Linked DNA regions of Cricetulus griseus. The protein of the gene in region 2 purifies or fractionates together with the protein of the main gene of each other region. This does not show direct contact. Links are inferred from orthologs where the notes say so. Each region holds a gene or a part of one and is shown on either strand. Other genes may lie near its edges.

What was found.
Region 1: the proteins of Eef1a2 (region 2) and Eef1b2 purify together in Homo sapiens (co-immunoprecipitation; 4 studies listed by BioGRID and IntAct, counting the BioPlex papers as one, with this or other methods). This does not show direct contact. The link is inferred for Cricetulus griseus from reciprocal best matches to the Homo sapiens genes EEF1A2 and EEF1B2.
Region 3: the proteins of Eef1a2 (region 2) and Eef1g purify together in Homo sapiens (affinity purification with mass spectrometry; 4 studies listed by BioGRID and IntAct, counting the BioPlex papers as one, with this or other methods). This does not show direct contact. The link is inferred for Cricetulus griseus from reciprocal best matches to the Homo sapiens genes EEF1A2 and EEF1G.

What each region holds. Positions count from the first base shown.
Region 1 is NC_048595.1:417,277,888-417,288,585, forward strand, and holds Eef1b2 (elongation factor 1-beta), read left to right. Parts: upstream 1-4,165; 5' UTR 4,166-4,444; coding exon 4,445-4,524; intron 4,525-4,989; coding exon 4,990-5,112; intron 5,113-5,717; coding exon 5,718-5,844; intron 5,845-5,970; exon of another isoform or gene 5,971-6,049; intron 6,050-6,129; coding exon 6,130-6,196; intron 6,197-6,350; exon of another isoform or gene 6,351-6,482; intron 6,483-6,603; coding exon 6,604-6,729; intron 6,730-6,830; coding exon 6,831-6,985; 3' UTR 6,986-7,038; downstream 7,039-10,698. Other genes in the region: Gpr1 (G-protein coupled receptor 1), read right to left, coding at 9,920-10,698. UniProt on the Homo sapiens protein: Catalytic subunit of the guanine nucleotide exchange factor (GEF) (eEF1B subcomplex) of the eukaryotic elongation factor 1 complex (eEF1).
Region 2 is NC_048599.1:736,397-746,994, forward strand, and holds part of Eef1a2 (elongation factor 1-alpha 2), read left to right. Parts: intron 1-3,428; 5' UTR 3,429-3,677; intron 3,678-4,925; 5' UTR 4,926-4,998; coding exon 4,999-5,142; intron 5,143-6,535; coding exon 6,536-6,715; intron 6,716-7,265; coding exon 7,266-7,562; intron 7,563-9,043; coding exon 9,044-9,194; intron 9,195-10,325; coding exon 10,326-10,582; intron 10,583-10,598. UniProt on the Homo sapiens protein: Translation elongation factor that catalyzes the GTP-dependent binding of aminoacyl-tRNA (aa-tRNA) to the A-site of ribosomes during the elongation phase of protein synthesis.
Region 3 is NC_048596.1:51,122,241-51,132,838, forward strand, and holds the end of Eef1g (elongation factor 1-gamma), read right to left. Parts: intron 9,870-10,598; coding exon 9,711-9,869; intron 8,709-9,710; coding exon 8,645-8,708; intron 8,494-8,644; coding exon 8,351-8,493; intron 8,080-8,350; coding exon 7,936-8,079; intron 5,391-7,935; coding exon 5,261-5,390; intron 5,019-5,260; coding exon 4,814-5,018; intron 1,263-4,813; coding exon 1,090-1,262; intron 1,000-1,089; coding exon 875-999; intron 649-874; coding exon 490-648; 3' UTR 411-489; downstream 1-410. UniProt on the Homo sapiens protein: Probably plays a role in anchoring the complex to other cellular components.

The DNA.
Region 1 (10,698 bases), on a different chromosome or scaffold from region 2:
TAGTCCCAGCACTTGGGAGGCAGAGGCAGGTGGATCTCTGTGAGTTCGAGACCAGCCTGGTCTACAGGAGCTAGTTCCAGGACAGTCTCCAAAGTCACAGAGAATGCCTGTCTCCAAAAACCAAACCAACCAAACAAACAAAAACCCCCAAAACAAAAAATTACCAGCTATTTAAAATAAATAAAATACCTTAAGGACCATTGTTTTACACCGAGTAGTAAGTTTATCTCACAGACCTGGAATTTGCCTGTATTAAGCTTATATCCTGAATGTATCACGACCTCATGGAATCTCCCACTTCAGTACCAATTCCCAAGAGCTCATAAAAATAAGCTTTACAGCAATGGTCCTCCATTGGACCTGGTGTTACAGGACTATAATCTCAGTTACTTGGGACACCAAGACAGCAGGATCACATTTCCAGGCCTGCCTAGACCATGAGTGAGTTCAATGTCAGCCTGGATAACTTGTTGAGATCCTATCTCAAAAAACAGAAAGGTGACTGGAGAGGCTCAGCAGTTTAAAGCACTCATTGCTCTTGCAGAGGACTTGGCTTCAATTCCCAGCACCCACATGGTGGTACACAGCCATCCATAACTGCAGTTACTCATGTCTTCCTCTGATCTCTGCATGCACCAGCATACACAGGGCACATGCATACATGAAGGCAAAACATTCATATACAGAAAAGAAAATATAAATTATTTTTTTTGTTATTTTTGTTTTTTGAGATAGGGTTTCTGTATGTAGCCCTGGCTGTTTTAGAACTCACTCTGTAGAGCAGGCTGGCCTTAAACTCAGAGATCTACCTGTCTCTGCCTCCTGAGTCATGGTGGGATTAATGGTATGTGCTACCACTTCCAGGTGTGGAAGCATTTTTTTAGTTGAGGCTCTTCCCTCCTTTCAAATGACTTCAGCTTGCATCAAGTTGACATAAAACTGCAGCACAGCCTCTAATATCATAATTTTTCTTTTGGAATTTTTAAGTTTTGTTTAGTCAGTTGGTTTTTGTTTAGTTTTGGTGACGGGATCTCATGTAGCTCAGGCTGACCTTAAACTCCTGATCCTCCTGCCTTTATCTCCAAACTGCTGTTATTACAGGGATGTATGTACAAGATGACTAGTTTGTTGTGTTTGTTTTTTCCTTTTAAAGGAAAAAAATTATGTGATTAGAAAGTATCAACATTAAAAAATGAGTAAAAAAGTTTCAATAGCAGTAGCAGAAGTAATAGAAAATAGTACAAAAACTAAAATTTTTTCTTTTTTTTAATTAAAAAAATTAAGTGTAAGTGTATTATATTTTACCTGTATGTATGTCTGTTCACTATGTGCATGCTTGATGCCCAGAGAGGCCATGACTGGGTGTCAGATCCCCTGGAACTGGAATTACAACCAGTCATATAGTTTTTAGGAATCAAACAAGGTTCTCTAGAAGAACAGCCAGGATTCTTAACCACTGAGCCACCTCTCCAGCTAATCTTGAATTCATGTCCTTCTGCCTCTACCTCTTCAACATACCCTATTGGCATGTGCTACCACACGTGGCTTTTGGCTATACAGAGACCAGGCTGGCCTGAATCCCACAGAGAGAGATTCATCCACAGGCCTTTGCCTCTTAAGTGCAGAGATTAAAGGCACTACCATTCCAGATGAAATAGAATCCTAAACTCTAAAGCCTATAGTTATCACAGATGACCTATAATTAAAAATTCATTAATTTACAACTCATTTCACTTAATTCCTTAATAACAGTAATTACAATTTTCAATACTGAATTTGAAGACATCAAGTCTGGTGTCTGTAAATAATTTCTGGTAAATCAGTTATTGTTTGTTTATCTAGAAAGCAGATCTACAATACCAAGGTCAGTAATTACCAATAATAAAAACAAAGAAAAAATTGCAATAAAAACTGACTTCAACTTCAATGGGCATTGACAATCAGATGTAAAGTGCTCTTCGCTTGTGGTCCTTTTCTTTACGAACATCACACCATACATTTATTTTACTGTTCTATTTACTAAACTTGGGCTAAGCATGTAGCTTTAGTGGAGGACCACTTCTTCAGCCTACACTGGGCTGTATCCCAAACACAAATAAACAAACAAGCCCCCAAAACTAAGTTCCTGGAGAATTTTGGTAGCTACTAGACTTTAAGTTCCTTGACAAGAAATCTGACTATTCCCATTTTCTGGCACAGTACCCTTACAAAAACAAGTCACCAAATTCCAGGATGAGCAGTACATACTCCATTAGCAAAAAGTACTGATGGGGCCAGCGTGGTGGCCCATGGCCATAATCCCAGCACTGGGGAACTTGAAGCATTTGATGTCAGCCTGAGCTACATGATATAAAACCTACATAGACAGTTCGAGGATAACCTGGTTTATACAGCATACAGTTTGTTTTGTTGTGGTGTTTTGCTTTGGTGGTATTTGATTTTTGAGACAGATCTCATAAACCTCAGAATGACCTCAAATTTGCTATGAAGACAAGGATCAACTTGGGACTCCTAAACTTCAGATCTCCACTTCCCAAAAAGCACCAGGATTATAAACATGAACCACGACATCCAGATTGGTATATGTTTCTTGTTGCTGCTTTTTACATTCATTTATTTACTTTGTGTGTGCTAGCATACATTAACTGCGGTGGGGCTCGTGCAGATGAAAGCCAAAGAACAACTTTTGGGAGTCAGCTCTCTCCTTTCACGTGTGGGTTCTAGGAATTGAACTCAGGTTGTCAGGCATGACAGCAAGCACCTTGCCAGCCCTGGAATGTATTCCAAACAGGAACAAAAATAGCTACTCAAGCTAGGGATGTAGTTCAGTTAGTAGAGTCCTTACCTAGCATAAAGTCCTGGGTTCAATCCTCTGTCTCGGCCTCCCCAGTGCCGGGATTATAGACAAGCACCACCGCACCTGGCCCATATCTTGGCTGTGACTTAGACAAACAACTTTCTAAAAGTTGCTGATGCTCTAGCTCAGAACACTCCATTTAATGCAAAACTCAGTGAAAGAAAAGAAAAGAAACCCCCCCCAGGAAAAACGAAACCTAATGTTTACAATTCAGTTTGACTTTGTATCTCAAGACCTTGAAGACACTGCAGCTTCCTGATTTGCGGCTGGGCCCCGAGCAAACTTTTTAAGATTCATTTTTTTTAAAACTTATGTGTGCATGTGCATGTCTGTGTGGGGCTCATGTAAGTGCAGGTGCTCACAATCTAGAAGAGGGTGGCAACCTCCTAGGGCACAGTGACAGGCAGTTGTGAGTCTTCTGAACTGGACACTGAGAACCGAATTCGGATCCTCTCTGCAAGGTACTTGAAAAACCGCTTAGCTAACCAGCCCCGGCTAACTTTTAAAAAGTTGTGGGGAGATTTCCCCGTCAGTAGAATAAATAAATTACTACCCAACATGGTCAATGAACTAGACAAAAACAAACAGTAGTGTGGACAGCTGCAAGACAGCAACTAACCAATGATGCCTAAGGTTTAAGTCCTTCGTGACACTGGGGCATGAGCCGGTCTCCTGTCAAGGCCACCTCCTGCTTTCCCCTGCAGAGAAAGCAGCTCGCAAGCCCGAGTTCCCAAAGGTCTGCTCCTCTTCCTCCCTCTGCTTCACCGGCCGGTTCTCCCGGGTTCCCGCGGTGGCGGGGCGGGAGGCGGTACCCAGTCAAGGACAAGAGGGGAATGACTTCTCTGACCTAAAGGATACAATGCTGCCAAGAAATGGAACCCGGCTTGAAGCCCTTCAGCCTTCCCACCTAAACACGCCCTCACCTTTTCTCCGGAGCCCACTAGGCTGCTCCGCGGACTGGTCCGGATCTCTCTGACCCCTCAATACCGGGCCGCTAAGTCAATATGGCGGCCCCGGCTAACTCCGTCACAGGAACTGGAGGACGGAGAGCCAAGAGGGACGAAAAACCCAGGCTCGACAATTTTTTTTTTTTTTTCCCCCTCTTTGGACTTGTTCGGCAATTTCCGGCAACCCGAGCGAGAGTCGGGAGGAAGCGGAGGGGACGACTTGGACCCGCAGTTCCGCCGGAAGTAGCTGAGGCCTTGAGGCCGAGCGCTTTCGCTCAACTCCGGCTCTTCGGGGGGCGTTTCCCTTAGTTTCGGAATCCTTGTAGGTAGGCCTTTTAAAATGCCTCTTTTATTAATTTCTCTCCGGTCCCAAGGAAAAGCCCGCGGACAACCTGTGGGCCGTTTGATTCCCAAGTCCCGGCTTTACGTGGAGGGACGAGACTAGGAATGTCCTTTGACCTTTAACCTCTAGCCGGTGCAGTGGAGGGAAACGCCTCCGTCTCTATATAAGGACTTTTCCGGCCGGCCCGGGCCCTTTTTCCCTTAGCGCCGGCCGCGGGCTTCTGGCGCTCTCTCTCTCTCTCTCTGTCTCTCCCTCTCCCTCCCTGCTGCTGCCGGCCTCCGGGATCCAACCGACGCCATGGGTTTCGGAGACCTGAAAACCCCCGCGGGCCTCCAGGTGCTCAATGATTACCTGGCGGACAAGAGCTACATCGAGGGGTGAGTCTGGAGGCCGGGGCCACGTGGCGCGGGCTCGGCGGGAGGAAGGGGGGGGTGGGAGCCGAGCCTGGGTCTCCCGGGGCCCGGATGCTGCCGGAGCAGGACCTCCCGGCAGGGGCTGCAAGCGGAATCATTGAAACAGGCTTGGTGGCCGCGTGGCCGCGTTCAACCAAGTTCTTCCGCGTCTCCGCCGAGTTAGGAAATCTAAACCTGGTTTGGTGGCTGGCCCGATGGCAGATGGTAGCTTTTGAGGTCTGTCCAGATACGTGGCAGATGCTGTTGGTTTGTGGAGATTCGAACACGTGTTCGGTGCACTTTATAGTTAAAAGCAACTAAAGCAACTTGTTAGCCCTGCAGTAGTTCCCACTAGTTAGTCTGACGGGTGTAGAGCTTGTCCTATACTAGCTGGTGTTCGTGTCTTTTCTTTAAGAGGTGTGTGCACTTTGTTTTTTGTGTCACCGGCAGGTACGTGCCATCGCAAGCAGATGTGGCCGTCTTTGAAGCCGTCTCTGGTCCTCCGCCCGCTGACCTGTGTCATGCTCTGCGCTGGTATAACCACATCAAGTCTTACGAGAAAGAGAAAGCCAGGTAAAAAATGTCTTGGTGCCACCTGGGTTTTCACATGGTAAACTAGGACCTAGGTTAAGTTACTTAGCTTTGTTGGGCTTGGGTAAGCTGAATTTCTTTGTGACCTTAAAAGGCCAAGAGACTGAAGCCCTCCGTTTTCTCACGGAACAGGTAGAACATGGACAACAGCAATTCAACTTTACCCCACACCTCTCTGCCAGTATGCTTGGACCTGGGGGGGCCATCGCTGGGGTGAGAGGGTAGCTCATTCATTCAGTCCCTGGCCATTCTTCTGAAACTACCAGCAAGCAAGGGTGGAGAGTTTGGGGAAGTGGACTCCAGTTAACTAAGAATGGAAGTGAGCATACTTAATGAAATCCCAAACAGAGATGTTCATTCTGAAAGAGTTAAACCATAGTGAGTATTGAGTATGATGTCTCCCGTGGTACTAATGTTTGTTGGAGGAAGAGCTAGACACATAACATCTTTACCTGGGATTGTTTGTGCTAAAGGATAAATAACCAGAATAGAAGAGATTGAGTGTTACTGGGAAAGAAAGGTTGTGTGTTTTGCCCAGAAAAGAATATGACACCCGACCTAATATTGGTAGAATGTTTGTTTTCAAGCCTGCCAGGAGTGAAGAAATCTCTGGGCAAGTATGGCCCTGCCAGTGTGGAAGACACCACAGGAAGTGGAACTGCGGATGCTAAAGATGATGATGACATTGATCTCTTCGGATCAGATGATGAGGAGGTATGGCTGACCTCATATAGAGTATGTTGATAAGGCAGCGTAAGTGTAGTATAAGTATAGCTGTGTAGTCACTCCCTGGAGTTGACCCCTGGCTTTGCTTTGTTATCTGCCTTTAAAAAGATATCACTGGGTATATGATGAATAAAATCAAATCACCATCTTTCGGCTGAGCTCCTGATGGATTTGCTTTTTTCTGATAAATCTGGTCTCTTTTTTTGTAATGACCCTGTCACTGTGTTTAAGCAGAAGATAACCAACTTTGTGAAATTTTTGTTTCCTATACAGGAAAGCGAAGAAGCAAAGAGGCTCCGAGAAGAGCGCCTTGCACAGTATGAATCAAAGAAAGCTAAAAGTAGGTAATTTTACAGTTGTTTACCTTCATTGGTAAATAATAATGTGAGTGGTGGTCTTTTCCAAAGCTTGACCCTAAAGTGGTTTTTTTTCCAGTTTCATTGAATGGGTCGGTATTTTTAAGAGTCTTCAATAAACATCTTTCCTTATGGAACATCCACAGCTACTGGTCTACAACTGTTCATATGATAGCAGCTGTAGCATTCCTCTGTGGGAAAGAAACTGTTACACAATTTAATGCCTCTTTCTTAGCCAAATTGAAAGAGGAATATGCGTGACAGACACAAGGTAAATTCTGTATGTTTTTTCAGCAAGAAGATGTCTGTTTTGAAACAAGTTGAGATTTGGCCTACGGTAAAGGTGTTTAGTAGAGTGCTTAAGTATAATGCATTTCTTAATCTTTTTTAGAGCCTGCGGTTGTTGCCAAGTCTTCCATCTTACTAGATGTGAAGCCTTGGGATGATGAGACAGACATGACAAAATTAGAGGAGTGTGTCAGAAGCATTCAAGCAGATGGCTTGGTGTGGGGCTCTTGTAAGTTTACTGATGGGTTTTGAAGTTGAAATTCATGTACATTTTCAATGTTTTCCCATCAATAAGAATTTCCTAACTTTTTTCCCTTGTTCTTTTTTTAGCCAAGTTGGTTCCGGTGGGATATGGAATTAAAAAGCTTCAGATCCAGTGTGTAGTTGAAGATGACAAAGTTGGAACAGATATGCTAGAGGAGCAGATTACTGCCTTTGAGGACTACGTGCAGTCCATGGATGTGGCTGCTTTTAACAAAATTTAAAACCATCCTTGGTCAGTGCACTTGAATAAAATCTCAAACAACCCTTGACTCTACATTCTATTGTGAGAAATGGTGGTGTGTGTGTCTTCATTTGGGGGAAAGGATTCAGTGGCTATGTAATTCCTAAGTAATGAAAACTTGGCTGGAAAGACAGATAAAGCACCAGGTCAAGCCCACTTGGCCATGCTTGATTGACCAGCCAGAGTTTAACCCTCAGGACCCACAAGGAAGAGGACTGACTCCTAGAAGTTGTATTTTAGCCAATGTGTTTTTCACATACCATATGACTACACACATTAAAAAAAAACAACTGATGTGTTATTAAACATTTAGCAATTATAGTTAATTTTGTAGCCTTTGTTGATAAAATTCTGTGGCTGTCAGCAGCAACACATGGTGCTGATGAATATGGTCTATTGTGAACAGACGTCTTCAAGATTGCTTTTTTGAAAAATTGACTTTTGGCCAGTAAGATGGTTCAGCCAGTAAGGGTACTCATAACACACATTTACCGCTTGGGTTCGGTCCCTAGAACCTGGGTGGGAAGTAGAATGCAGACTTTGGAAAGTGCTCCTCTGACCTTGACATGCACAGCACTCAGTCACAGAAGTATTTTCTTCATCAGTGTTAATGTATGTGCCACATGAATGCCTGCCTGGGGAATTCATAAAAGGTTATTGGGTCCCTTGGAACTGGAGTTACAGATGGGTGTTAGCGACTATGTAGGTGTTGGTGCCCAGGTTGTCAAATATTCCTAATTGCTGAGCAATCTCTAGCTCCCTCCTTCCCTTTTCTATGCCACTGTACCAGAGGAGGTGAGTCATAACGTCCATTTACAAATGTCACGTATTCATTCAGCTACAGAGGATGGGCCTATTGTTAGAAGTGTGATCTGATGCTAGGGATTGTACTGCCCTGGAAGTACACCATTGAACACATCAGCCATTTTGGCTTCATGTTAAATACCAAATGTAGTTACTATTGTTTTTACAGTTTGGATGTTGTGTCTTTAAAGCTTGCTGTATTTTGTAGATAGAATTCAGAAGGATAAATAATCCAGGGTTATTTCGCTCAACCAGCCAGTACTCTTGCTATCAATCTAGTGAGGGAAGCTTCCTGTAAAGATTTATTTAATAAAACATTCGCTGAGGAAAAGACAACAGATGCGGCCTGAAATAGTGGGAAGATTTTTTTCAGGATCATAATGGCCAGCAGAGGGCAGTGTCTAAACGACGAGAGCCAGAGGAAGGCAATGTCAGAACCATGAGGGTCGGCAGAGGGCGCACTTGCTCTTCTGGAAATTCATAGTGCTTGAGGATTCTGCAGAACACTGACGTAAAGGTATATTTTATTCATCTTATACTGGTGTCCACGTAAACAAAAGACCAAAAGATGGAACTATGCTGGCGATGCATGTTCTTTGAAGTACTGAGTTCGGACCAGCCTCTATATCACCTGGGAAATGTGTTTCTATTGTTTATAGTAATCTACACACTTGTATACAGCCGGAATTTTCCATAACCACGATGTTCTAAAAAACTAAAACTGAACACAAAATTGTAGACACGCTTCAAGAGGTCTGTCCCCTCTGATTCTGAGCCAGCCTAGTCTTGCTTTGACCAGTTGGATATTGTGGAAACAAGGCTGTGAGTGACATTCATAACCTTTAACAGGCCTGAGGATGAGGTTCGGTGGTGGAGCACTTGCCCCTTGCAGCTTTTGGACTGAGAAGTGTAGACGTGAGAGCAAGTACAGTTGATTAACTCGTCCCAACTATTCCAGGCTAGGCCACTTGCATTATTACCCATCTGAGGCTCCAGACAGACATAGGAAGCAGAGTCAAATCACCCTCTGTCTTGTTGGTTTTCCAGAACCTCAGAATTTAACTATACCAACAAGAAATTGTTGCTTTAAACAATTAGATTTTGGGGAAATTTATTAAACAGTTAACAGGAATGGAAGTTTTAAACCAATATAAACAATTGATAGCTTAATTTATAAATTATTAAAGTTGAATATATATGTATTATGCTGTTAAAATATATGTATATTCAGCTGGGCAGTGGTGGCGCACTCCTTTAGTCCCAGCATTTGGGATGCACAGGCAGGTGGGTCACACAGGCAGGTGTGAGTTCGAGACCAGCCTAGTCTACAAGAGCTAGTTCCAGGACAGCCTCCAAAGCCACACAGAAACCCTGTCTCGAACCCCCCCAATATATATATTCAATTTGTTTATTGGAACTTGAGGTCAGTCTAGGATACATAGTGAAACTCTATCCCAGACAAAGATTTTTGTTAATTTTCTCCTTTCTTAGTAACTGAAAAGGTGATGATTAGGGAGCTGGGGAGATGCCCTAGTTCTTAAAGAGCAACACACAAAAAGCCTGGCATGGTGGTGACATGCACTCAGTCGCAGTGTTGGGGAGGTGAGACAGGCAGATCTCTGGGACTTGCTGGCTAGCCATCTTAGCTTACTTGGTGAGCTCTGGGCAAGTGAAAGACCCTGTCTCAAGAAAAATTAGGTGGGAGGCTCGTGAGGAGCAACAATCTAGGTTTATTTATCACTGTTTGCACACATGAGCACCTGCACACATATGAACATGCATACACGCACAAAACGACCCAAAAGCAAACAAAAATGAGCCTGATATTTTTCCAAGATGATTAACGTAATGTGGTATGCATTATAAAGAAGATTTATTTAATCTGAGAGATACATTGCAGTACATCAATGGACGGAGGCTAAAACAGTGGGAGGAAAGTCATAGGTTGTCAGTACCACAATCGCCACCAGAGGGCAGCCAGAAATATGCAGCGTTTAAATGGCAAGGAAGAAATCCTACATTTTATACGCATACAAAAATATAAGGCCAATACACTGAACAAAAACAACAAAAATATAGTCAGTCAATTTAGATCAGGACGAAGCTTCATCTAAAAGGATTTGTTATTAGGCTCACAGGGCGACTCCACACTGATTTCTGGGAACAGGGTACTCAATTGGGCTGTTTCTAGGGAAGACAGGCTCTTGGTTTCAGCGCTCCTGATCTGTTCACTGGCTGTGCCATGGCAGCTGACTTCCCACAGTGAATGCTTTAGTATCTCAGCAGTAGAGGCCCGGAAGTGAGTTTGGAACTTCTTGCTAATTAGAACGTAAAGGATGGGGTTCAAGCAGCTATTGAGGAATGCCAAGCCGGTAGAGAGAGGGAGTCCACCCTGCAGCACGTGCTGGAAAGAGCTGTTGTGGTACATGGTGAGTTCCCAAATGCTAAACAGGTGATAAGGAGTCCAGCAGACCATGAAGGCAATGACCACACAGAGGATTGTCCAAAACTGCTTACTAGACATTGGAATGTTTCGCTTCTTCACCTTGAAGATGAGACACAAGTAGCAGAAGCTCATTGTCAGCAAAGGGAAGAGGTAGCCAAAAAGGAACTTCACCCAGGTTAGAACGTGATGTCTCATCAAGGTGAGGTCGGGGTCCTGGAAATTGTTATAACAAATAATGTGGTTATTGACCTCCAGAGTGTCCCGGAAGTACAGGTTAGGACCTCCAAGCAGAGAAGCCAAAAGCCACACAAATACAGCAACGACCAGTGAGTTCTTTAGGGTTCGGTGCCGATGAGACAAGACAGGATGGATCAAACGGAAATAGTGGTCTAGGCTGATCACTGTCAGGAAGAAAACACTAGAAAACATGTTCAGCAGGGCAA
Region 2 (10,598 bases):
ATGAATGCCAGCTCAGTGGTCTGAATACTCTCCTGATCTTCCCTTCTGTTTCTGGATGTAGTACCCTGCCCTTACCCCAGAAATTGGTCTGCTGTGTGGCATCAGTGGAATGTGACTTGTGTCCCACAGTATCTGTCATACTCTTACTGGTTTCCAGAGATGAGCAGCTCTCTGTTCCTTGGATGATGTAGGGCTGGGCTCCCTGGAGGAAGAAGGAGGAGCCTCCAGCCTGCTGAGCTGCTGCTCACCATGGCAACAGCTTCCTGTGGCTCTGGGCTCCCTGACAGACTCAGGATGCCTCAGACCTTATGGGCCCAATGCCTTGGAGGATAGTATATTTGGGTCCTGGCTAGCCTGAAATCCAGCTGTTTTCCAGGTCTGCAGTTCACCTGACAGCTGCACAGCTGCTCTAACTCAGGAAGGTGCTGAATTGTCAAGGAGTGGCCCCAGAGCCCAGATATTCCCCTCCCCATGGAGACAGTTCATGTGCTGCCTCAGGAACTCAGTCTCCTGGTACCTGCCTGGAAGCTGACCTTCCAGGGGGAGGTTTGTTTGTTTGGGAGGAGTTTGTTTCCTGGGAGGACTGCTCAGGACTCAGGCTCAGGTAGATGACTAGTGAAGGACTCCATGCCCAAGGACTGTGCTTTAGGAGCAGACGGTATCTGGCAGCTCAAACCAGGTGGAACTCCCTGGGAACTCTCTGACTAGAAGGTGTCCCCAGACCCTCACCCTGTCCCTAAGGCACTGTATAAGCCACCCTGGGCCAAGTGACACACATCTGTTGGATATTGACTCCAGGAGGCTGGCCTGGCCGTGGCTCACAGAAGGCACCCACACAGGTGGTTAGCTGGGCACCTCAGCTATTATTAACCTGACAGTGACATCACCACCAGCCAATGGGAGGCAGGTTTATTTGCAGGGCTGGCAGCTTGATAATGGTTAATTTTAGCTGGATCCTTCATTCCCAACATTTATGAAAACCCCACCAGCCAAAGAGGGGGATGCTGTCTCCCCAAACAGCTTGAAGTTGGCATCTGGGGGCTCCCGGAGGAGCCGAGGAGGGACAGAGCCTGCACCCTACCTTCCACACTGCTCTTAGGAAGAATCCTGGTTTTCTGTAGCCTCTCCTTGCTTGCCCTGCCCCACCTCTGGCAGTTTCCCAGGGTCACTGTGATCAGTAACTGAGAAGCAGGCCACAGGTGAGACCTGGATTGAACCATACTGTCTATGGTTCTAATGTTTTGAATCACCTACTTGCTGTGTTATCTCAGGCATTGGGCTTAGCTTTTCTTTGCCCAGTTTCCTCATAGGTTTTGGGTCCCCAGGCCTATTTATAGGACCTGCTTTTATGTAGTATTGCTGATTTCTTAGTCATTTAAGTACTATTAACTATGCAGTTGAAGAGGCTAGAAGCCCAAAATTCTGGCAAGGGGCTCAACCAGGCCTCACAGTGGAAAGTGGAGGGCAGGAGAGCCCTCCATAGGCACTTTTTATGGTAGCATTTAATCCATGGATAAGGCTGGAGCCCTCAGGACCTAAATGCCCCCTACTAGGAAGCACCATCCCAGCACCTTGGGATTTAGTCCCAGCACTGAGCTTGGGGGATAAGTGCAGATTGGGGCAATAGCAGCTCAGTTGCTGGAGCTATTGACTGTCTGGCAATTGCTTAATGCTGGTGGGTTAGTAGCCTCTTGGAACTCTTGGCTGCAAGGCTGCTCAGTGGGGTTAGTGTGTTATTGTTCAGCACTGTTACCTCTTGAAGATTTGTTTTTCTGCATATCCCTAGGATCTTCCATGCCAGCAAAGGCTTCAGGGACTTGCACTGGTAGGCAAAGTATGTGCAAATGACAGGGAGGTAGTTTTGGCCTGCCTCCCCTAGGTCAATGTATAGGTGTTTCAGGAAAGATATGACATCTTGCCATCAGTGGTCAGTCCTCTAGGTGGGTAAGTTCCTGACCTTGGATCTTGCTGGCTCCTTGTGTCCCAGATGTACACAGAGGAAGACTATATAGGCAAGCGGAGTCTGATGAAAACTCCAAAGCTGAAGGTCCGGGGGCTATTCCCAAGGATTCTGGACTCTGAACCTCTCAATTGAGCCCACCCAGCCTCCTGAATCCCAAACTAGGCCTGATCTCCTAGTGGAGAGAAGAGCTGGGCAAGTGGGCAGGGTAAATGCTAATGTCCTGCCAGGAATTTATTTTTAATTCCTGGCTCCCAGTTGACAGTATCAGCAGTCTTCGGAAGTGCCGGGTCATCTGAGAGGCCTGCCTGGTCTCTGGCTGCCCTCTGCCAGACAGACCCTCAGATTTCACCTTAATACCTTCTTCACCTACTTGCTAGCTGCCTGTCCTACTGGGCACCCATCTCCAGGGGCTCCTCGTGGGTACTCTCTCAGTAGGATGTGCTGGGCCCTGACCTGGGCCTTCTATGTCTAGATCCATTCCACACCAGTGTGGCAAGGATAGGCACAGGGCATGCTGTCATTCAACATAAATACCCAAGTAACCTTTGCTTCCTACCTGCCCTACCATACCCTGCAGTGACAAAGATCGGTGACAGCACTTGAAAATGTCTGGGTGAGATGACAAGATAGGGGTCTCTGAAGAAGCCTCTGATGAGGTGGGCACAGCTCCCTTAAGGCCCATTTTGGTTACATTCATCTTCCTAGACTCCTCAAAGTCTCCCTATTTCCTACCCATGGGGGCTGAAGGAGGCTGGTGCTCGACCCTGGGGGCTGGGTCTGAACTCTGTTTGGAAATGTTTGATGGTCTTAGCTAAGACAGTCTGAGCAGGAATGCAATCAGGACTGTGCCTGAGCTCTAATGGGCTTCATGCAGTCCCCCCTCCACCCCAAACACACACCTAAGGGAATAGGTAGAAAAAGCCACTTTCCAGGGTTTCAGGCCAAGGTTGTATCTGGGCTGGACTTGCTGATGCCCTCAAGGGCCTTCCATGTTGGGCCCATGTGAACAAGCATGGGGCACTCACTGTACCAGGGGGATCACATCATGGAGAGCCTCTGGGAACTGAACTTCATGTTCACTGGGACTCAATCACAAACCGGGCCAGCACTGGATGCCCAGCCACATCAGGACTTGCAGGGACCTTGACGTGGGCTTGAGCTTCTTCCCCCCTCCCCCACTCGCTGGTTCCCTGTCTTGCGTTCCACCTTCCTGAAGACATTTTTTTTTTTTTTTTACTTTGAATGTGTCCCACCCCCCGCCCCCGCTTTCCAGCAACCCCTGTCTCTGCTATCCCATCTCTTCTATCTGATGCTTCTTTCCCTTCTCTCCTTCTCTGCTCCTCCCTTCCTGGCTCTGTTTCCCTGCCCCCACCTCTGCGTGCTCCCCGCCCTTTTGCCTGTTTTTCTCTCCTGGTCTGCGCTCTAGCTCGCTGATTCTCCAGCTTGCTCTGGCGCATCTTTGCAGCTGCGTCCTCTCGGATCCTCGTTACGCCGCCGGCCCGCGCCCGTGGGTGCGCGGCCCCTGCGTCCGCGCATCACTCGCACCCCATCTGCCAGCCTCCCGGCGCCCGCCTCCCCCCGCCGGTACCGCATTGCTGTACTGCAGGGGCGCAGTGCATTGCGCCGGCACCGTCAATAGGTGGACCCCCTCCTGGAGAGATAAAACCGCCGCCGCCGCCGCCGCCAGTCCCTCTGACTGAGACCTCGGCTCTGGGTAAGGACGCACATCCCGGTCTGCGACTCTTGCTTAGGTTTCCACTGAAGGTTCGTTTCCCTGGGAACCCAACCCAAGGTAGAGAGGACACGCGGCACCTAGCTGAGCTACACCCCTGGGTTGGGGGTCTCTCGGTTGCACACCGGGCATGGTGGGTCCCCGTGGCAGTCTGGCGGTGTGTCCCCCTAGGCGATTGTTTACTTGGTGACAGTGGCGGGGACTGTGGGGAGGGGGTCTTCTCCTGAAACCTGCGATCACGCTGTCACTGTGACCTTGGGGCTCTCCTGGGCGCTGCGGGGCTGGACAGGCTGGTTGGTGCAGGTGCTGGTGTGGTTAGGGGCTCTGGGGATGTTAGTGATTTGTCAGAGAGGGGCGGGGGAGGTGGTGAAACCTGAGGACCCCTACCCCGCCCTACATGGATCCCACCCTAGGATTGTCGCCCCCCCCGCCCCCCCTCCTGAGCTTCTCCGTTGACCTCTGTGATGCGTGGGTACTGAGACCCAGGGCCTGTACCAGATGGTAGGGGCAAGGGTGAGGGCATTTCTGAGGGCACTTGCTGAGCTGGGGCAGGGAGAGATTTTTATTCCTCTGGCTAGAACAGGACACTCACCTCTCAGCCCTGATGGCTGCCCCCTGCTTGAGTATGGGGAGGGCCTGAGCTATTCTGGGCCTATGCCTGGGCACCATCCAGCTGTCTCCCCTGCCAGCCTGTGGGCAGAGAGGGGAAGATGGCGCCCTTGCCTGTGGAGGGGCTGAGGAGTGCTGGCCTTTTCTTCATGGTGGCAGCAGATGGGGGTAGGGCAGTGTCCCTCCCTGGGCTATGTGTGTTTGTGTGTGTGTGTGTGGGGGGGGGGTAGCGGCATCGAGGACAGGGAGGACGAGGCACTGGAGAGCTGGGCACAGTGACTCATCACAGGGCTCCTGGCTGCTCCAGAGGATCACTCAGCCTGCTGCTCTGTGATGTCCAGACCAGATTAACCCTTTCTTAAGGAACTTTCTTCCAAATCAACTCTCCAAATATTTGTACTCCAAGGAACCATTTGGGCTAAGGTAGAGGAACAGGTGGCTTATGAGTGCAACCTGGCTGGCCTGGGCTAGGATCAGGGTGAGGGGCAACCATTCTTCCTCATCCAACCTCAGGTGACTGGGTGAGGACAAGCTCTCAAACAACAAGAATAGTGTGGGTGTCTCTGTTGGGCTCTCTCTGGGCCTCAAAATCACCTATCTCCCTTGTCACTGGCCCCACAGAGTTCCTGCCCAGCACACCCTCAACCCAGAGCCAGAGCCCCCACAGTGCCAGCCCCTCCTTCAACCAGGCAGAATGGTCAAGGAGAAGACACACATCAACATTGTGGTCATTGGCCATGTGGACTCAGGCAAGTCCACCACAACAGGCCATCTCATTTACAAATGCGGGGGCATCGACAAAAGGACCATCGAGAAGTTTGAGAAGGAGGCAGCAGAGGTGAGCACCATGGGCCCAATGCTTTCATTGCTTGGTTTATACCTTCAGTGCAAAGGATGTCTGGGGGTGGGGGTAAGTAGGGCAGCCTCCCTCTGAGAATGTTGCAAGATCTGCTTCAGACTGAGGGAGGGAGAATGTGTATCCCGCCCAGGTCCACCAGAGGGCTCTGGACTCTTGGCCTCAGTAGGCCAGAGGGCCCTCAAGCCTTATCCTCTCGTTCCCCAGGGCTAAAGCTATGTTGGATGTGGTGTTGCCCTCACTTGTCTTGCAACAGCCAGGGCTCAAGGATGCTATTAATAGCTGATTGATGGGCAGCAGTCTTGCCAGCTCCACTCTCTCCAGATAAGCTGGGGAAGGTTGTTGCTTCAGGATGGTGCCTGGAGTGGGGGGTCTTGGTAGCCTGTTCCTGGTTGAGACCTACGAGTGGGCAGTGGTTGTAACTGGATTCTCTTTCCTGCCCCCGGAAGAACTGGTTCCTGGAAAAGGGCTAAGGTCAGACCTGAGGGCAGCAACTCTCTGTGTTGAACTCCTGCTCCAGTGTATATGTGGGTTTTGAGCCACAACTCTGTGTGTCTGGGGACACCTTTAGGGGGTATTCCCAGAGGAGGTGGTAGCAGGGAGATCAGGGATTGAAGGTCACCTGGGTCAGGTCCCAGCTGGGTTTTGTCTGGACCAGCTCCTCCAGGCTGGGCAGCATCCCTGGAATGCAGAAGCCTGTCCTGTGAGATTCTGGTCAGGAGTTGTGTTCAGCTGAGCAATGACCACAGTTGTGGTCCAGGCTGTAGCAGTCTCACCCAGGCACAAGTTGGCAGAGAGCAGCCAGCCTTGCTTTGAGTGGGGGTGTTCTTTCTTCTCCTATTTTGGTGTAAGGGGGGAGGGAGAGCTTTTTAGAAGTACTCATCAGCTACAGAAAGAGCTGAAAAGCTAGACTTTTCTCAAAACCTTGACCAATTTATTTGTTTTTTTAAAATTTCATGTTTTTGAAATAACTCAGAGGTTTTTTTTTTCAATAGTCCCAAACCCAATGAGATAATTGACCTATAACTGACTAGGGTGTGGAGTCTTAGCCTCAGATAGTGAGGAACCCTTTGCCAGGGATGAGAGGTTAATGAGGTCTGGCAATGTTCAGACCCTCATGCCCCCTTCTGGGTGTGTCCATAACCACTTAGGAGGGGAGTGGGGGTGGGGCTGATTGATCTGGGTGGCTTCATTTTGTGGCAGAGCAGGGTTTGGGTGTCAGCATCAGAGAGACAGTACAGAGGTCTTTGGTTCAAGGTGCTTTAGCCTAACCCTAACCTCTCATGGCTGTTTCCATGGCCCAGGGCAGGCCTGGCAGGTGGCTGTGACCCCTGAGTCCTGTGTCCTATCCTGAGTTGCATCCCTACTCTTTCAGATGGGGAAGGGGTCCTTTAAATATGCCTGGGTGCTGGACAAGCTGAAGGCAGAGAGGGAGCGTGGCATCACCATCGACATCTCCCTCTGGAAGTTCGAGACCACCAAGTACTACATTACCATCATTGATGCCCCAGGCCACCGGGACTTCATCAAGAACATGATCACTGGCACATCTCAGGTGTGCAGGGAGGGTACCGAGCCCAAGAGCTCTCCTGAGGTGTCAGTGTCTCTTGTACTTTCTGTCAGGACAGAGCTCCACCCAGGTCACCTTCATCCTGCTTGGCACAGAGTCCCTCAAGAACTGAGTCAGTGTTTATATCTCAGCTAGATGGGGTGCCTGCAGGGTTACCCAGCCATGGTTGGGGCCAGCAGTCAGACAGAGGGGAAATTGTAGGCATGTCCTTCACAGACAGATTCTTGTAGAAGAGGCCACATTAGGGATAGTGAGATGTGGATAGAAAATCAGTCAGACAAGACAATCACAGGCAGACAAGACAGAACCAGAAGCCAATGACTCATCCAAGGGCACATAGCCTGCTGGTGTTGGAGCTGATGGTCAGTTTCGGGCCTTCTTAACTCAGGGCCTAGTGAAGGAGTCCCCTGCTACCCTAGAGGAGGAGATCCTGAGTCTCCATCCCCAGGATAACTGCCCAGGTCCTATTTTGTGGGTGGTAGGGCTAGGTAAAAGGTGGGGCCAGGGGGCTCACTGTCTCTGATCTGTTGGCTAGGCGGACTGTGCGGTGCTGATCGTGGCAGCGGGTGTGGGTGAGTTTGAGGCGGGCATCTCCAAGAACGGGCAAACCCGGGAACATGCCCTCCTGGCCTATACTCTGGGCGTAAAGCAGCTCATTGTGGGTGTTAACAAGATGGACTCCACGGAACCAGCCTACAGTGAGAAGCGCTATGATGAGATTGTCAAGGAGGTCAGCGCCTACATCAAGAAGATTGGCTACAACCCAGCCACAGTGCCCTTTGTGCCCATCTCAGGCTGGCATGGGGACAACATGCTGGAGCCCTCACCCAATGTGAGTGAAGATAGGTGTAGTGGGGCAATACTAACCTTCCAAGAGCCCAGGGCTCCAGGACTCTAAGTCAGGCTGGGCCGAGCTTCCTTTGGTTCAGTTGGCTTTCTATAGTGATGAGTACCAGCCTCCTGGGGACACTTCCTAGTAAAAGACCTGCACTTGGGGTCTTCTAGCTCAGCCTCCCCATGAGGCCAAAAGAGGGAGATGTGGCTCCTTCTCTGGCCACAGTCTCTTGGGCCCTGGATCTCACTATTGGGGGAAATCAGTTTTTATTTCTCCCAAGCTGCTGTCCTGGCCTTGGATACTGTGCAGGACCAACAAGGCCACAAGGCCTCCCCTGAGGTCTGAAGTGGGTGGTATCTGGGAAGCATGCATGTCCCTGGGCTGGCCTGGGGAGTGGAAGAATGTCTTTTGGTGGGTCCTCTGGAAGCTTGAAGCTTCTGCTGCTCTGGGTCTCTGGGTTTTGGGTGTAGAGGAGAAAATTTTCAGAGAGAGAGCCTGGGACCTAGATCTTGGTCTACCCAGAGGAGACCCCTGTCTTAGAGAGGTGGACACTCAGCCAGCTTTTCAGATGCCCATAATGAATGAAATGGTATGAGGATATAGGCTCTCTTGAGATAGCTAGGGGACCAGTGCCTGGTGGCATGGGGACAGAGTTTGGCAGGCAGGGGATACTGCATCTTGCTCTTGCTGGTGTATGATTATCAGGACCTTAGAATCCCCTGGGGACCTTTGACCAGCAGAGTCCTCCCTGCTTCCTACTGCTCTATTGTGCTCTGGGGCTCTGTTCACCCATACTTTAAGAGCCATCTGTTGGCCTGAGGTGCCCGAGACCTTGTCATAAAGACAAAGGCAGGAGGACACACAGCCCCCTGGGTGGATTTACTTCTTGTCTGTACAGGTCAGGAGGGTTTGAAGTCATCCCCCAGAGAAGCCCTTTTGGTGGTGGTGGTGGTAGACACTGATCTTGGAGACAGCTTAGTAGCCAGCAGAGCTTCTGGGGTTGGGGCAGAGGCTGGAGTTTATCTTTGAAATGGCCATTGGCTAGGCTTGAGTCCCTAATCCCCTGGTACTTGACCTGTCTAGGGCTGTGACTGACCAGGTCCCTGAGGGATTAGGGAATCAGGCCCAGTTGAGGGGTCTCATTTGCCAGTGTTGGGGACATGGCAATACAGTCTGGAGAGGTGTGAGGGGTCTCATTTGCCAGTGTTTGGGACATGACAGTATAGACTGGGGAGGTATTTTTTGTTTGTTTTGCTTTTTGCCCCTTCCCTCTTTTCTAAGTTATGTTTATTCAGGGTCCCTATGAGGTTGGGAATGTGAGAAAGGGATGAGGAGCAAGCTATTCAGCTTGAACAGTGAGTCTCCTTCCCCTGGCTATCCTTTAGGCAGGTGCCACCCCCAGAATCTCAGAGATCTGAGGTTGAGGGTGTGGTCAGGTGGGTTGCCCTATAATTGGCACCTTTTTTTTTCCTGCCCAGATGCCATGGTTCAAGGGCTGGAAAGTAGAGCGCAAGGAAGGAAATGCAAGTGGCGTGTCCCTGCTAGAAGCCCTGGACACAATCCTGCCCCCAACCCGCCCCACTGACAAGCCCCTTCGCCTCCCACTGCAGGACGTGTACAAGATTGGTGGTGAGTGAGGTCTCAGTATTGAAGGCGGTGATAATGAATTCACTAGACCCAAGATACATATGGGAGCTCATTTCTCCCTGCAGGGGCTTGCAGACTCTGTCCCCAATCTTGACAGGGACATCAACAAGGAGCCCTCAGGCTGTTCGTCTCCACCCACCTCTCTTCCATGTTCTTTTACACTCATCCATTTCCTCCGCACCCTTGATTCTTGTTCTATCCATCCATCCACACCCCTCCTACCCACCTCCACCCATCCATCCATTCACCTAGCATTCGGTAGGATTCCTTTCCCACTCCCCAGATCCCCAAGCACTCAGCCAGGAGCCAGGGACATCAGATGGGAGCTTTGAACTGACTTACACTTCACCTGCAGGGTGAGGGGCGCCTGTCTCATGGGAGGCAGTCCAAGTCAAGGAATGAGAAATGCAAGTCATTAGTCAATAGAAACCAAAGCCAAACATGAGACAAGCAAAGGGAGAGGACGGACTGAGGATACCATGCTGATGCTCACTCCAACACAGAACACACCCTCTGGCTTTTCTCCATCGCCCCATAATGCCACCCCCCAGTCTTCCAGGGAATGGCGGAGAGCAGTGCTCCCTCTCTCAGCCACTTTTGCTCACCAAGGTATCCCTTTGGTAACCACACTGCCAGTGTGGGCAGGGCTGCCAGAAGTGCTGGGGCCAGATGCTTCTTCAGCGGTAGAACCACAGGGTTACAGCAGGACTTGGGGAGTCCTATGTTCGCGAGTGCATCCCAGTGAGTTGGCCCATGCCTGGCTGTGGCTCTCAGAGAGAGAAGGGACACTGGTGATGCTCCCTCTGAGGGACAGCTGTCCTCCAGGAAACAACCCCATGCTCCCTTTTCTGTCCTGACCCTTACCTTTGAATCCTGGGAACTCTGATTTAGTCTCTTATTCCCTGATGGGGTCAGGGGAGACTCTCCTGCTGTCACTTCACCCTCTGCTTGTCTAGGGACCCCGTTTCCTTACTTCCTCCATGACTCTACTTCCTTTGATACCTTCAAAGAGGAACAAGCCCTGAACTCTGTCTACTTGCAGGCTTTCTGCTTTTTGTTTTGCCCGCACCCCTTCTCTGGCCTGCCCTCTCACTGTATCCTCTCTTGTCCCAGGCATTGGGACTGTGCCTGTGGGCCGAGTGGAGACTGGTATCCTTCGGCCTGGTATGGTGGTGACCTTTGCACCAGTAAACATCACCACAGAGGTGAAGTCTGTGGAAATGCACCACGAGGCGCTCAGCGAGGCCCTGCCTGGTGACAATGTGGGCTTCAATGTGAAGAATGTGTCCGTCAAGGATATTCGCCGGGGCAATGTCTGTGGGGACAGCAAATCTGACCCACCTCAGGAGGCTGCCCAGTTCACCTCCCAGGTTGGTGGCTGGGCTA
Region 3 (10,598 bases), on a different chromosome or scaffold from region 2:
ATATGAAGACATCTGTACCATTTACACAAGCTATCTGAGCATGAGGACTATGGGACACGAAGTGACTCCCTACAGATACAGAGGACAACAGCTATGACAAAAAACACCTGTATACTGAGAGCTGTTCATGGCCCAGCATTATCAGCAGACCTTCTTCAGTGTTTAAGGTCTGGGAATACGATTCCTAAGAATTAGGTAGTAAGCAAGCCCATGCCACCACCCAGTCTGCTTCTCATCTTCCCCAGCTAGAAGAGCATCGTTGTGGGAAGCAAGGCAGGAAAGGCAAATTGAGGCCAGGCCTCTCTACTTCTGCTCTTCTGAACACTTCTGCCCTGCCACAGTGATGCCTCAGGCATAGGCAACAACTCTGAAGAAGCCACCACTCACAAAGGAGGCAGGACAGGAAAGGGTTCAATGTTCAGTTTCCTTTAATGACCCCCATCTCCCTTGCAGGGTAGGTGCAGGCAGCTAGGTGATGGCAAGACATGTTCACTTGAAGATCTTGCCTTGATTGAAGTTTTTGCCCACATGCTGGAAGGCCCCCTCCCAGGAAAAGTACTCTCGAACCAAGGTCTGGGTCTCCTCGCTACCAGGATCCAGTTTCCGCCATGTATACGACTCGTAGTCCACCTGCCAATCTGGACTCAGCTGGGGATAAAAAAAACAGAACAGAAGCATGTGGTTAGACACTGGACATTGCTCTGTATCTCTGCAACCTCTAGCTCAGACACCAGGACTCACAATGATGTGAACACACTTCCTATGTATAATCTACAACATTTCCCTCACACACAACACACTGGCCCAGACTCAAAACCCCCAGTTTCCTATACTCTTGCCCACTAAAAGAGACCACCCCCAGCACCTTCCTCACCGGAAAGGCAAGTTCTTGGCCTCGGAAGACCCAAACGCCAGAAATGGAGCTGCTATTGTTGGTTCCAAAGAGGATGACACTAGCAAAGGCATTCTTCCTCAGTTTGTCCAATCGCTGGAACATCCCTAAGGGAGAAAGAAGGGAGACTATTCAGCCTCTTGGAATCATGACGCCCCACCTTGACCTCCATCCACCAGACCCACCCCTCTTCTTACCAGTGATGAGGTTGCAACTCATGAAAGTCTGGGTGAGCTCTTCAGGGAAGCGGTACTCAGCATACCACAGGGACCAGCCATCCTTATCAAAGTGCTCCCAAAAATATGGCAGCGCCACAGACACTGTGTCCTCATTGGAGTACTTCCGCTTAAACTCATCCAACACGAAGGTACTAAAGAGAAAACACCAGGAGGCTAATAAGCAGGAAGCCATGCTACAACTGCAAAGTATCTCTAGGTCAATGGTGTTTTCACTTAAAATATACCAGTTTGAAAGAAGTGGTCCCTGTAATGCAATGTCAGACACTCACAGCATTAGGAGCAAAGATAGATAGAGGGACATGAACAAGAGCTAAGACATTTCTGGGCCTAAGAGTATTAGACATGCATGAGGAAGCCAGCAAGGTATGGAGGATACAGCTAGCTGCTGCCCCCAGGTGGTGGCTAAAAGCGAGGTAGTCTGTTTTTCTCAGTCTAGGCCCTCCTGGACATTCCCCAGGAACCACAAGTCAGTGCTCAAGTAAAACTCACCCACCACACAGGACTTCTCGGGTTACAGGCTGGAACCAGAATGCAAGCAGAAGATAGCCACCTCAAATCTTTATGCCCAGGTCCTCTAGTTCCTCTTTGCCCAATAACAATTTATATATTGAAAAGCTTATCAAAGAAAAGGTTACCAAAGTAACCTGACACTCAGGGTCAGATACCCAGATGCCAAGAAAGCTAACATAGGCACAGGAGGTATTACTTCCCCCATAGCTCAGGTTCTACTTTTCCCCCCCAATTGTATTTCTCAACCACTTTCAGTTCCATGGCATCTGACGCCCTCTCTGACCTCTTCTGGCATCAGGGAGGCATATACAAACATCAGGCAGGCACATACAAACATGCAGGCAAAGCACTCCTGCACAAAAATCTAAAGAAACTTGCCGGGCGTTGGTGGCGCACGCCTTTAATCCCAGCACTTGGGAGGCAGAGGCAGGCGGATCTCTGTGAGTTCGAGACCAGCCTGGTCTACAAGAGCTAGTTCCAGGACAGCTTCCAAAGCTACAGAGAAACCCTGTCTCGAAAAACCAGGAGAAAAAAAAAAAAGAAAAAAAAAATCTAAAGAAACTTAAATGGCGAGGCAGTAGTGGCATATACCTTTAATCCCAGCAGAGACAAGTATATCTATGAGTTTGAGACCAGACTGTCTACATAGTGAGTTCCAGGACAGCCAAGGCTACAAAGAGAAACCCTGTCTCAAACACCCCCTACCAAAGGCATAAATATTGCTTCAAGTTAGGGATGACCACTGCACCACTCTCAGGGAGTATGGGAGGCAGAGAAGCAGGAGAATCAAAAGTCCAATGTCATCCTCAGAAACGGCAAGTGCCAAGGCCCTAACTCAAAAGCTGTAGTCTAAGTTTTTCTCATTTTACAGACGAGTTTAAATGTTGAGCCTGGTCCAAGGTTATACTATATATAGCAAAGCCAGAAATCTGCCATTTAACCAAAGGTCCCAGACTGGTCTCCAAATGTCCACCAGACAACTCTTTTTAAGGGCCTGAAAACCTCAAAACCTCCCCTTTCCAACCAAAAGGTAGGACTGGAGACTTTCTCACACTCCATCTGTTTTTCCCCCAAATAACACAGACCAAGTATGGTCTGCATCTGTAATCTCAGCATAGGCATTTAACAGATCCTGCCTCAAAAAACTAGGATTAGTGGTATAGCTAGATGGCACAGCAAATGCCTAAGCATGGGTGAAGCCCCAAGTTCAATTCCCAGCACTCTTAAATATATGTATATGTGTGTATATAATAAACATAAGCTCCTAAAACTCACCTAGCTGGGAGATCTTAAAGGGATCAGAATGAAATCTTCAACAAATGACAGTTAAATCACTGCCTTCAATTTTATGCGATTAAAAAGCCTAAGGGTAAGGGGGCTCAGCAGTGGTGGCACATGACTTTTTTTAAGATTTATTTATTACGTATGCAGTATTCTGTCTCCATGCATGCCTGCTGGCCAGAAGAGAGTACCAGATCTCACTGTGGATGGTTGAGAGTCATCATGTGGTTGCCGGGAATTGAACTCAGCAACCAGTGCTTTTTACCGCTGAGCCATCTATCTCTCCAGCCTCCATGGTGCACGCCTTTAATCCCAGCACTCAGGAGGACAGAGGCAGGTGGATCTCTGAGAGTTCAATGACAGCCAGAGTTGTCCTAAGGGATGTGAGGTGTAATGGCTCATGTCAGCAATCCAGCACTTGGGACTGAGACCAACAAGGAGGACCAGAAGTTAAGATCACTCTTAGCTACAGTCTGAGACCAGCCTGCAATACATAAGAATCTGTCTAAAAACCGAGAACCACCCACCAACCAATAGCAAATAAAACAGTACCAAGGGGAAACACTTTTGGCATCCCAGAAAGGCATCGTGGTAATACAACAAATAGGCATTAAATTAACATCCTCAAAGGTACATAAGAGCCAAAGGCTCAGCAGGTAAAGATGCTTGCCTGATGACCTCACTTGATTCCCAAGAACCACATGGTAAAAGAGAACTGACTCCATCTCAATTGTCCTGACTTCCATACACATCAATGCATCACTCTATGGCTGGCAAGAGTGGGCCCACATGCACACACAAAATAAACTAATTTAAAAATACCTAAGGATGCCGGGCATTGGTGGTGCACGCCTTTAATCCCAGCACTCGGGAGGCAGAAGCAGGCGGATCTCTGTGAGTTCGAGGCCAGCCTGGTCTCCAGAGTGAGTGCCAGGACAGCCTCCAAAGCTACACAGAGAAAGCCTATCTCGAAAACCCCCCCCCCAAAAAAAAAAAAAAAAAAAACCTAAGGAGGAAGGAGAAACCTTTCCATTCATTGTTACTTATTTTCTGTCCATAATAAGGACCTACCACATGTGTCTATATTATAACAAAAGAATAGGTTTTTAACATAACAAAATTCTTCTCATTAGATCTATGCTTGTGCAAAACTCGGGTTAATCACTTGATTCAGAACTCATTGTATTCTGAGAGCAGGGTTGCAGATATACTCACAGGCAGAGCAAATTGTCTTAAATGAACCTGAGTTCCAGCCCCTTTCAGAAACACACACACACACACACACACACACACACACACACACACACACACCTACCTACCTAAAGAAGCACCTATTAGAGCTTAAGTTTTCTTGGTCTCATACCAAAAAACAAACAAACCAACCAACCAACAACTCCTACAAATTAAGGCTTTCAGCTGGAAGTCCCTGCCCTTTAGTATCCATGCCTCCAGAGCCAGTCATCACGGGAGTGCTTCTACAGGATAGTCACATTAAAACATCACAAAATGCAGGTAGGTCAAAACTGAACAAGGATGGCTATTCTTCAGTCAACTTTAATTCCAGCACTAGAGAAGCAGAGGCAGGTTCAAGGCCAGCCTGGTCTACAGTGAAAGTTCCAGGACAGCCAGAGCTGTCTCAAAAAAACAAATAACAAACAAAAACACCAGGACTTCCATACTGGTACATCCCAGGTGGAGGCAGGAAGATAAGTCAGAAATTCAAGGGCATCCTCTGCCCCACAGCCTCACAAACCAGCCTGGACTACAATGAGACCAGGACTATACTTACACCCATCACTATTTGCAGCAACTACCTCAAATTGCAGGCCTAGATGTATGTGAGAGGAACAAAGGCTAAGAACAGGTTAAGAACGCCTTCCAACACGCTTACCTCTTGGGCAGGTGAGCAAAGGGGTCCTTGGCCTTGGGCTCAGCAGCAAGTGCCTGCTCACACTCGTCCATCTCCTCCTCAGGAGCTGGGGCAGCTGCCTTTTTTTCTTCTTTCCGCTCAGCCTGGGGCTTCTGTTTCTCTTCTCGTGAACCCTTTTCTTTCCTTGGAGTTTCTTTTTTAGGCTGGCTCTCTGCAAACTTTTTAGCTGATAAAGGAGAGAGGGAAGTAAATATACTGCCTCTTTCCATTTTCCTCCAAACCAGGCAACAAATGGAAAGTGATGGCAAGGACAACCAAACAAGCCTCAAGGAGCATACACAAGTTATCACACTCTGCATTCCAGTGTGCCAGTAACTATTTGATAGATTATGTTCAGGGGTCACCAAAAGTCAAAGGCTGTTGACAGGAACAAACGGAACCCTGATCACATGCTGTCTCCAGACTTACCATCAAACTGGGCCATCTTCTCACACAGCTTCACCTCCCCCAAGACCGCCCTGAACTGGGGCTGGTTAATGCAGGTAAGGAACCATCGGTTGGTATTGGGGAAGGCCTGACGAAAAGAAGGCTCTAAGACCTGCCAGGATGGAAGGACAGAAACAAAGTCAACACTAGAAAGGCTATGAACAGATCTCCAACAAGAGCACAAGACCCTTACCCCCAGCTCCACTTTCCTCTCCATCCCCAACAGCAAAACTTTAAATCACTACATCTCCAAGAGGACTACTTACAAAGGGTCCTTTTTTGTGTTTTGGGTTTTTTGTTTTGTTTTGTTTTATCTTTTTCAAGGCAGGGTTTCTCTGTGTAGCTATGGCTGTCCTGGAACTCACTCTGTAGACCAGGCTGGCCCGAACTCAAAGAGATCCACCTGCCTCTGCCTCCCAAGTGCTAGGATTAGAGGTGTGCGCCGCCGCCGCCACCACCACCACCACCAGGCAAGTGCACTTTTTTTTTTAAGATTTTATTTATTATGTATACAACATTCTGCTTCCATGTATATCTGTACACCAGAGGAGTGCACCAGATCTCATAGTGGATGGTTGTGAGCCACCATGTGGTTGCTGGGAATTGAACTCAGGACCTCTGGAAGAGCAGTCAGTGCTCTTAACCTCTGAGCCATCTCTCCAGCCCCTTGTTGTCATACTCTTTTACACAAGAATTTCATGTCTATTATTCTTAATCTTTTAAATTTCATGTCAACAAAATTTTCTTAAGTTAGATTCAACAAGTCTGTAACAGAGTCTATGTAAGAGACTAAGGGCTTAGCTCAGTAGCACAATGTAACCCAGTATTCACAAGACACTGGGCTCCAACCTAGCATCCAAGGGGGTGATGCTAGGTGGGGGTGGCTACTAGACTTATTTTGCTAAACAAGCTGACCCCCAAAAAAGACATTTTGTGTGTGAAGCTGGGAATGGAACCTAGAGCATTGCCAGATAAACCATGTCACTGGGCCTCACTCTAGCTCCACACTGCAACTACAACCTGCACACTGATGACACAACCAAACCCAAGACACCAACCAAATAAGAGTGTAGTTCAGCAACCCAGTATGATCAGAACAGTCCTTCTTTTAACTCATTCACAGAAAAATTCACTATCCTCTTTTAAAAAATTTTAACATTTATTTCATTTTTACACAAGTGTTCTGTTTCCATGCATATCTGCGCACCGTGTGCAAGCCTGGTGCCCACTGAGACCAGAAGGTATTGTATTCCCCTTGAGCTGGAGTTAAAGAAAGTTATAAGCTGCTATGCGTGTACTGGGAATTGAACCTGAATCCTCTGCAGAGTGCTCTTAAATGCTGATCCATCTCTTCAGCCACACACTGTCTTAAATTCTTAATTTACCTTCCATTTTTATGTATATGGGTGTTTTGCCTGCACATATATCTGTACACCACATGCATTCTAGTGCTCACAGAAGCCTGAATTCAGAGGGCATCGCATCTCCTGGAAAGGGAGATACAGCTATTAGGGCATCATGGGGGTGCTGGGAGTACTCTGTAAGTGCAGCAAGTATTAACTGTTGGCCTATTTCTCCAGCCCCTGTCATTTTCAAGTTTGCCAAAAATAGGAGGGGGTGAGAGCTAAATCTGGTCATGGAGACAGATCACAGAAATCAGGAAGTTGGGAACTTCAAGTTCTGAATACTTGGGTTCAAGTTATACTTGAGTACTTACAAGCTGTGTGCTATAGGCACAGAAACATTATAATGAACCCCGTGAGGCATACGGTCAGAACAGTAGGAGCTTTTTTCTTTGTTCCTACTGTACTACAATTCTGAATCAAAATGGATCCCCAGCTATTGCTTGGAAATCAATACAACATTCTTTAAAACCCAACAACAAAACCAGTAACCTGAGGGGCTGGAGAAATGGCTCAGCAGCTAAGAGCACTGGCTGCTCTTCCAGAGGACCCAGGTTCATGGCAGCTCACAGCTGTCTGTATCTCTAGTTCCAGGGGATCTGACACCCTCACACAGGCATACATGCATATACACAGACAGACAGATGGCTGTTCTTCTAGATGGCCCTGGTTCAATTCCCAGCACTCACTTGGTAGCTCAAAACTCCTTAGGACCGGTACACATATGTACATACATACATGCTAATACACATAAATGAAACAATTTTAAATGTTTTAAAAAACATAGGAACCACACAGTGATTACTACCACCTTGAATTTAACACAGATAAAGTAAAATAAAATAAAGAACTGTGAGAATTCTTACATCCTTCTATCTGTACCAGTAAATAATGAAGCCAGGATAGGGACTTGGATCTGCCTCCAAAAGCCCTTGACGCTGCAGTGACCATCCTTACCTATCTTTAATTTATGATCTCGCTATACAGCCCAGGTTGGCCTCATACCAGAGTGATCCTCCTGCCTCAGTACCTTAAGTGCTGAGGTTACAAGTGTAAGCCACCACACCCAGCCTTACCCATCTTTAAATTAAACCCATTATTTTCAAGAAACTAAGCAACATCACCTAAAATGAAAACACCCACCGTACTCAATCCTGGGATTCCTACAGCCATTAACTGATGAGTCCTAAGTAGAACCCAGGGCACCCCAGCACCAGTCAATCTCCTGTCTAATGGGCTCTTTACAAACCTTACCTGCTTGTAGAGCCACAGAAGGGTGCAGACAACTGTGATATCAGCCAGGGTCACTCGCTCACCCACCAAAAAAGTCCTTGTCTTCAAATGAGTGTCCAGCAGCCCCAGGATTCGCTTCACCTCCTCTTTTGCATTTTCAGTGGCCTGTTGTTTTGAATATTCAAGTTTAGTGGGTACCAAGTCCCTTTCCATTTAATCAGCATTGGCTCAACCCCCAGCCTCTATCACTAGAATCTAGGATCACCTGAAAATGTATTAGAACTAAAACATGCATGTTCAGTCTCTTCAGAGTTGACATGACTATTTCCCACCATACTGACGGCGAGCACTTACGACTTTGCACTGCCACACATCACTGGCATCTTTCCCTCCAATATAGGAGTTGACCCCATCTCTGCCAAGTTCCAAAGCATACCTGTTTGTTGTGGTGCATGATGCCCAAGGTGGGGAACACCCAGGTACTGGCTGGAGGAACGATGTCACTGTCAGCAAAGCTCACCCACTGCACCACCTGAGCCGCTGCCTCTGGAGTACTTCCACGAAGGTCCTCATTGCTTACTGCAAAGGCACAACATAAAGCTTGGAACCTAAAGATCATGCCCAAACCAACCCAGGTCTCTATGATCCCACCCCGTCCACTGCCGTCACTCCCAGCCACTTCTACAGCCTCATCCCCAGAACCTCTCAATCCTGTGTCCCCACAAATTACCGTAATGGGCAATGGCATTGCTCTCAAACACACAGAATCCGTCGTCCCCCTCAAATGCTGGGACCTAGGGGCGAAGTAGTTAAGAGACAAAAGCAAAACACAGGGATTTCTCACTAGCCAATTCTTGGGATTGAACTGTCAAGAATGTTGAGACAACCCTTGCTATGCAAACTTGCAACATTATCTGAGACTCATATGAAAAATAATCAGTAACTCTCTCGTAATCTGAATCCAGTGCCTGGACTAAGAATTCAAACATGGCTGAAATGTGAAATTACGGCCTCATACCCTTATTCCCAGTCTGAATCTGAAATCAGCCAGGGCTAGTGTGACACCATCTCAAAATAAAGAATATTCTCAGGTATGGATGTCTTCAGACAGTCCTCCACCTACAACTCCGCTACCCAAGGCATTAGGTGCAACCCACACACAGCATTTGGCCGGGCAGTGGTGGCGCTCACCACTGGGGAGGCAGAGGCAGATGGATCTCTGTGAGTTCGAGGCCAGCCTGGTCTACCGAGTGAGTGCCAGGATAGTGTCCAAAGCTACACAGAGAAACCCTGTCTCAAAAAACAAACAAACAAACAACAACAACACACACACACACACACACACACACATATACAGCATTTGCCGTCCTCCATACTCAGCGTTGGATATTTATCTCTACTCAAGCACTCTGGGATATGAATCCAACTTGCAAGAAACCTAGTATGTATGTATTGGCCCAAATACATTTCATCCCACAAATCCAAAGCAGGTCTGTAACTCTGAGAGTCACCAAACTGCTCTGAATTTCCCTTTATAGAAAGGCTCATATTAGATTATATAAACTGACCTCACACAATCCTCCTGCCTCAGTCTCCAGAATGCTAGGATTACCAGAAGGCTTCAAAATGATTTTATTTTTCCTTCTGGGTGCTTGGACAGTCAAACTCAGGGCCTTTCATCCCTGGCCCCATGAAATCTTTAAAAAGTAACTTCAATGTTGAAGAATAGAATATGGAGGCCATGTCCAAAATAATAGAATTTTAGGGCTCTTTGGGGTCCCTGCTTCTCTACTCACCTTGCCAGCAGGAAACTTTCTGAGAAATTCAGGGGTGCGGTTGGTTTGGCCAAAGTGGAAGTGGGGTGGTGCGGAGAGCACGCGGACCTGAGCCCCGCTGTACTGAGCAGCGATGAGGGCCTTGAAGGCTCTCCAGTTTTCAGGATATGTGTACAGGGTCTGTGAGAGGAAGGGTGGAGAATGGACATGAGTACAAGAATCCTGAAAGCGACTCCCCACACTTTCAAAGCCTTTGATTCATCTCCACTCCTTCTGGTAAACCAAATTAACTGAGTATGCCCTATGTAATCAGAGTCCTCTGAAATAGCGAGAACAGAACTGCGTACCAGCTGCTAAATAAAGCTTGCTGACAGACGTGACCTCCCGTAAGGACATCACTAGCAGCATTCTTCCCTTCAGAACTTCGTGGTCCCACCAGTCTTCATCTGCCCAAATACACACACCCTTGCCTCCCAGAGCCCTTGTTTCATTCATTCGTGGTGACCCAGTGTATGGCCACAGCCAAGCTGGTAGCACCTCACAAGCACACACATCGACCAATGGATTTCAAAGTTCCCCTCAGAATGGCCACGTTGATTTCTAGCGGCATGCTCTGCTCATCAACTCCTCTTCCTAAAAAGTCTGTTTTTCCTCACCGAGCACTAACATCGCTCTGGTCCTGTCCTTCAGTGTTTCCAGTTGTCTCCCTACTAAAACCTGGCCAGAGGTGTCCAAATGGTCTGCCTTCAGTGTTCCTTGACTCCTCTGCTCCCAAACCTCCCCAAAAGACAACTCCTAACTGTGCCAGTCCCTCCTGCCCACAAAGACCCTCTCCTTTTTCACTGTCCCCGTCGGTGACCCACAAAACGGTCGCAAAAGTTCCACCAACCTACCCAGACACCACATCTT